Danio rerio: one gene and its partner. The protein of the gene in region 2 purifies or fractionates together with the protein of the main gene of each other region. This does not show direct contact. Links are inferred from orthologs where the notes say so. Each region holds a gene or a part of one and is shown on either strand. Other genes may lie near its edges.

Region 1 (3,203 bases), on a different chromosome or scaffold from region 2:
AAACCCAGTATTGATTTTTTTAATTTGAATATTTTAGTTTCATAATTCAAGAAAACACACTTACATGAGTATTAATTGGATTATACTTTATATTAAATTATATGAACATTCTATTAAAGTGCAGATTTTACCCATTAACAGCAAGATTTTTCTAATTCAATACGTATTTAAGCTTTAAAAATTATGTATTTTATTTTCGGCTTAGTCCCTTTATTAATCCGGGGTCGCCACAGCAGAATGAACTGCCATCTTTTCCAGTTTATGTTTTATGCAGTGGATGCCCTTCCAGCTGCAACCCATCTCTGGGAAAGCTTTAAGTTATTATTTTATACATATTTGTCACATCACAGATCAGAATAACAGTAGGTTTCATTTTCACATAACACTAAATGACAATACAGCGTTTTTAACTCATATTTTTAATTTCACAAAAGTTATTTAAATCACTAAACAATTTAATTAGATTTAATTTGATTGCTGTAATTAAAAATCACATTTGTGAACTTAGGTAGACACTGAAATGGGATGTCTCCTCTATTTGATGGTATAAGATAAATCTAATCATATTCTTTTCATTAAAATTGCTCAAATACTTTATTAATTGAATCTTAGCTTCAATTTTTTAAGGTGATATTTTAGCTTTATAATTCTAAAATACACATTTGATGATATTTTATATTACATTATAAGAACATACTATTTAAGTACAAATGTTACCCATTAACAGCAGGCTTTGACACATTTATACTCATTTTTAAATAACTTTGGGGATGAAATATAACCTCATTATTCACAATATCCAACCAGGAACTGATGGCAAATCAGAAAGAATTTTAATTTAATGTGAAAACACAATTACGAATGAATAACAGGAGTCAATATTAGATGACATTTATGAAAACGGTTCAATGATCTTAATCCATGACATATGTAGATAAAGCCTAAACACATAAACAAACCCGATTCCTGTACTGAATCAAACTCCAGCCGCAAGGCACTCAAAGTCATGACTTAAGAGAAGTTGAGTCGTGTGCAATATTTATTATATTCTACAATAAACATCATAAGTCCACCACACTGCTTTAAATGTTAGCGCTTTCCTTGCTTCATCTGAGGTTTGCGCCCTTTGCCTTTAGGAGCTTTTCCCTTTCCTCCAGGTTTTCCTTTGCCTTTTCCTTTACCAGGCATGCCTCCCTTGCGTCCCTTCTTTCCAAACCCTTTCTTATTATTCCGAGCAGACTCCGAGTCCTCTTCCCTCATCTGCTTATTCACAGCTTTAGTGATATCGAGACGGGGCTTCTTACTGTCCATCACCTTCAATAAATCCAGCTGTTTTTGCTTCTCGCTACTGAAGTCCCCAATAAGAGGCTGGAATTTCCTCTTCTTCCCAGTGTTTCTGGCTGGTTTTTCCTTGGGCAGCTTCTCCTGGAATTTGCCAACCGATGCGGTGGATATTTTGGCCAGACTGACCGCTTGTGCCAGCTCCGCTTTGGTCTGCTGGGATGTAGGCAGGAGTCCTGTTCCAGGAACCTTGACCTTCTGAGCTCTGGCGATGTTTTTGAGTCTGTTGTACTCGTTTCTGGCCACTCTTTCCTTTTTGGCTTTATTCCTTTTGGCGAACTGGTCTTCGTTTGGATCTGCAGTCGCCGGGACCTCAATCAACCACTCTTTGGTGTCATCTTTGGCACGTTTATACCCCCATCTCCTCTTCCACTCCTTGTGAACTTCATCCCAGACCAAGTTGGTCTTCTTTTTCTTCTGAATGCCTTTCAGCTTGGCAAACTGTTCCCATTTAGTAGGAGGCTTAGGTTTCGGTGCTGGTTTTTCTCTGGGTAGTTTAGTGGTCGGTTCTGGCAGCTTGGCGACGATCACTTCGTCGACTCTCTCTGTGGGTAGTTTCCATATCTCGTTGATGAGAAGTTGTGTGTTGTCTCGCGCTAAAGAGCGAAGACAGTCCTCCCGTTTGTTGCCTTTAAAGTCCCGTGTGTCAAGTCGGTTCTTGTCAAACGCCAGCAAAAGTCCCGGGTCGAATTCAAGATCCAACTCTTTGAGCACCGTAATACTTTTGAGCTTCTCAGCCTCGTCTCTTTCAGCTTTAGCGAGCACGTCTTCAATACTGCACGAAGCCATTTTGGTTCTACTGACAGACAACGTGGGTTCCCACATGTGCCGCTAAAAGCGGAAGTCTGGTATTTCAAAATAAAAGAACTAAAAACTAACTTAAAAAATAAAATAAACATTTCAAATGAGTTAAAGAAATATAACAATCTTTAAACATGTTTTAGCTAGTAAAACGTTTATCCTAAGTGTATATGTTTATGATACTAACTAACTTACTTCGGACGAAAGTTGTTCGGTCGAATGCAGGAGTAGCGATAAACCGACAGGACGTCCCATCGGCTCTGTGGCGCAATGGATAGCGCATTGGACTTCTAGATTGTTGAATGGGGTCATTCAAAGGTTGTGGGTTCGAGTCCCACCAGAGTCGACATTTTTGTGATCAGAATCAATAAAGTGGCCACATGCCAGAAGTTACCTGAAGTGCTCGAAGACATGATTCAAACGAACCTGACTCAGTGATTCAGTTTGTGGATGCGTGAATCTTATAGCCGAACCGAACCGGTGGGTTAAGCATACGGAGCAAATGGTTCGTTTTGATAAAATATTAAATTTATTTAGATATATATCGGTTCTGTGGATGTGTAACCTGGGACAAATGATTGGTTTCTAAATGCCAGTAAAACCTATAAGTGAAACCCATAGTTGTGGTAGAAATATTGATTTATTTATTTTGTTGCAGTTATACACACGCACGGTTGTATTTGTTTTATCATCGACCACTACAAATATCTAAAAATAATTAATTATCCTTAATAATACTTAAATTGTGTTTTTGGTATGATTTTAAAACTGATTTTTTGGATCTGTTTGGATTATATTATTACTGAACAAGTGATACTGAACTGATAATATGATTTCTGAACTGATGCCAATGTTATTCTTGAAAATTCTAACAGAAAAAATCTGGAAATTGCCTCTGCATACAGTATGCAAACAAAAACAAACTTGTTATTATTATTATTATTATAATTATTATTATTATTATTATTATTATTAGTAGTAGTAGTAGTAGTAGTAGTAGTAGTAGTAGTAGTAGTATTTGCATTACTGTTCAGTTACGCAAACAAAATGATCTTTAATTG
Region 2 (3,836 bases):
GTGTATGGAACATGCGATGTCGCGCTTAAAATCTTTTTAAAATCCTGACAATGGGTTATTTCAATTTAGAAAAACAAAAACTGTTTAATGAATGCAAAATTTATAGAGGGAAAATCAAAATTGCAAGATATAAATGCAGAAATGTGGCAAAAACAGTTAGAACTGGGCTTTTTAGACTCTCCATGTTTGATTTTTTTTTTAAATACACGATTATGCTGTCGAACTGTAGTATAAATGCAATATCACACTCATAGCAGTGTGATATGGCTGTATATCGTCACTGGTGGGACGCTAAGGCATTCTGCCTATGGCCTCATGCCAACACACCCCTCCCACCACTGCCGATATACATCCATATCACACTGCTATGAGTGTGATATTGCACATATATACAGTTGGGGTCAAACTGATTTGCCCTCCTGTGAATTTGTTAAAAAATATTTCCCAAATGATGATTAACAGAGCAAGGAAATTTTCACAGTATTTCCTATAATATTTTTTCTTCTGGAGAAAGTCTTATTTGTTTTATTTCGGCTAAAATAAAAGCAGCTTTAAATTTTTTAAACCATTTTAAGGTCAAAATTATTAGCCCCTTTAAGCTATATTTATTTTTGATAGTCTACAGAACAAACCAATATTATACAATAACTTGCCTAATTACCCTAACCTGCCTAGTTAACCTAACCAACCTAGTTAAGCCTATTATTCAAAATAAATATTATTCACTGTCATCATGGCAGATTAAAGAAATCCGTTACTAGAAATAAGTTATTAAACTATTTAACTTAGCTCCATTAGAATAAATTTACAGGAGGGCTAATATTTCAGAAGGGTTAATCATTCTTACTTCAGTATATAACTATAACAATGTCTATTATTAAAGTTCTGACCATTCTTGATGTCGTCCGGTCTGATGCCGCTAACCGCCGTTCGGTAGTCCGTAACCTTCTCTGTGGGTTTGACGTATTTGTCATAGATACATTTCCCGAAGTGGTTGACGAGGGAGACTCGGGCTAAAATACTGTCCTCTCCCTTATATCCAACACCCACCATCTCGCAGTCCATCGCAACCGCACGAGTCACTCTAAAAACCACAAAATAAATCATTGAGTGACATCACTTCCTGTTAGCAATGACAGGAGCAAGTGTGGTCATGTTCACATACCCCTCAAACGCATGCTCTTTCACCAGCATCTTCTCTGTGTTTTTTGGATCGCACTTCGCTAATCCGCAGCGTTTCCGCATGATGTCCGCAGCTTCTGTCCCTAAAGCGGACTCGATGTCATCGGGGTCCACGTCGTCAAACCAGAGGTCCGGCCTGAGGGAAAACAGGGGGTTACATATAAAAAAAGATGTAGGATGGAAGTTGGTTATCAACAACGAAGCTTTTTTTTCTTGCAAATGCATTGGCTATTTTCCGATTTTTCCCCTTGAACTCTGTGTTTATATGGAGAGAGAGTTGAGAGTTTAGAATTTATTGCCATGTCAGCATCTCTGGCTATTTTATGGCAAAACCAGATCAATTTGACAATATTTTATAAATATAAGTTGAGTTTATCTCTCACTTCTTGACTTTAGACCAGGGGTCATTAAACTTGTTCCTGGAGGTCCAGTGTCCGGCAGATTTTAGCTCCAACCCTAATCAAATACACCTGAACACGCTAATCAAGCTCATACTAGGTAAACTTGAAACACCCAGGCAGGTGTGATGAGGCAAGTTAGAGCTAAAGCCAGCAGGGACACTGGCCCTCTAGGACCAAGATTGGTGACCCCAGCTATAGGTCATTCAGCTTTTTTCAGTGTATTTATTTAGATTAAACATTAGATATTTAATTTATTAATGTAGATTTTTCTAGTTATTTTGTTTATTTTTTGCAATAGCTTTTTAGCTTGCTCCACATATTTTCTATCTGATCTCATAATTCATACCTCTAATCATATCTTCTCTAGAGTTCATATCTCTAATTTTGACTTTAGCTTTAGTGTTTTTATTTTTGCCATGGAACAAAGTGTAAACAAAATAAATAAACAAATGCAACACTTTGCTTCACAATTCTGACATTTATATTAGAATTGCAAGTTTATTTCACACAACTCAGATTTTTTTTCTTCTTTTAGTTATTTTATATATTACACTTCCAATCTACTGGAAATTTTGGATTTTTGATAGTATATTGTGACTTTTTACAGAAATGAGTTTACATTATATATATAATTTTGACTTTAGCTCAAACTTTTTTTTCGTTCTTTTCTTCTTTTTCCCTCACCTTTATAATTTCTTAGAAATGCAGCTATATTTCTCAGATTTTAGATTTTCTTCCTTTAAATTGTTTAATTATCTAAAAAAGTGCATTTATTCCAATACAGTTTTTTTGTTGGCATAACTGATAAAAAAAAATCAAAAAAATGTGGATTTTTCACAAAATTTTGGACTTTTGAGAGTCTAAATCTCTAATTTTGACTTCAACTTGAAAATTCTTCTGTCCGGCAACATAAAAAAAACTTTTCCCATTATATTTTTTTTCTTGCCTTTCGAAATTAACATCTTGCAATCCTGTTTTTTTTTCTCCGCCACAGAATGGAGTTGTTTATAGAAGGTTATACATATATAGAAGGTTTACCCCCCTTTTTTTCTGTTTTAAGCATTTCCCAAATGATGTTTAACAGAGCAAGAAAATTTTCACAGTATGTCTGATATTTTTTCTTCTGTAGAAAGTCTTTTTTGCTTTATTTTGACTAGAAAAAAAGTTGTTCAAAGTTTTATGAACCATTTTAAGGTCAAAATTATTTATCTAGTCAAATATTATTTACTGTCATCATGGCAAAGACAAAACAAATCAGTTATTAGAAATGAGTTATTAAAACTATTATGTTTAGAAATGTGTTGATAAAAATCTTCTCTCCGTTAAACAGAAATTAGGGATAAAATAAACGGTGGGGGAATAATTTAGGGGGGCTAATAATTCTGACTTCAACTGTATACACACACACACACACACACACACACACACACACACACACACACACACACACACAAACACAAACACACATTTCTGACTTCACTTCTGTGTTTTCTCCAAACACAATAAATAAAAAAATTATAACAATTAATATAATAAAGCTGTTTAAATCTCACAATTTATGATTTTTATTCTTAAAACTATTATAACTAATAAAAATATTAAATTAAAGAAATATTTGTCTATAAATCATACAAGAAAATGAATGTAATCCGTCTTGTAATATCATAAACTGCAGGGGCGGACTGGCCATCTGGCAATTCTGGCAAATGCCAGAAGGGCTGGACCATTTTTTTTTAAATGTGGGCCGGTATGCTATTTTTTATTACATTTTTTTTTAATAAGTATTCATTTTACATACAGGCAGTTTTTGTTTCTTGCAAGAGGTGAATATTATGATAAAGATGATGATAATGATGATGATAATAGTAATAATAATAATAAATGTTAAGCATTGGCCCAATCGGTAATGGCCAGCTGGTTTCGAGATGGGCCCACCCAATCAGAGGTTACGCATGACATAATCAAAATCTGGCAAGAATGTCAAACAAACATTAGGTGCAACACAAGCTAATTGTCAGAGATGGACCGTGAAAAAAGGAAAGGCGGTGTCAAAAAGCTCAGAGAAACTTAAAAATTGCTCTAAAATCAGACGCTGCCAAATGCATAAAATTAACTGAAATAGTCTCAAAAGGGGGCAGCACAATGGGTAGCACTGCCGCCTCACAGCAAAAAGGTCAATGGTTCGAGCCTCGGCTGGGTCATTTAGTGTTTCTGTGTGGAGTTTGCATGTTTGTGTGGTTTTCCTCCTGGTTT

The links.
Region 1: the proteins of rexo4 (region 2) and rrs1 purify together in Homo sapiens (co-immunoprecipitation; 3 studies listed by BioGRID and IntAct, with this or other methods). This does not show direct contact. The link is inferred for Danio rerio from reciprocal best matches to the Homo sapiens genes REXO4 and RRS1.

Annotation. Positions count from the first base shown.
Region 1 is NC_133199.1:27,758,026-27,761,228, forward strand, and holds rrs1 (ribosome biogenesis regulatory protein homolog), read right to left. Parts: upstream 2,140-3,203; 5' UTR 2,131-2,139; coding exon 1,090-2,130; 3' UTR 812-1,089; downstream 1-811. UniProt on the Homo sapiens protein: Involved in ribosomal large subunit assembly. May regulate the localization of the 5S RNP/5S ribonucleoprotein particle to the nucleolus.
Region 2 is NC_133196.1:7,188,965-7,192,800, reverse strand, and holds part of rexo4 (RNA exonuclease 4), read right to left. Parts: intron 1,319-3,836; coding exon 1,166-1,318; intron 1,085-1,165; coding exon 891-1,084; intron 1-890.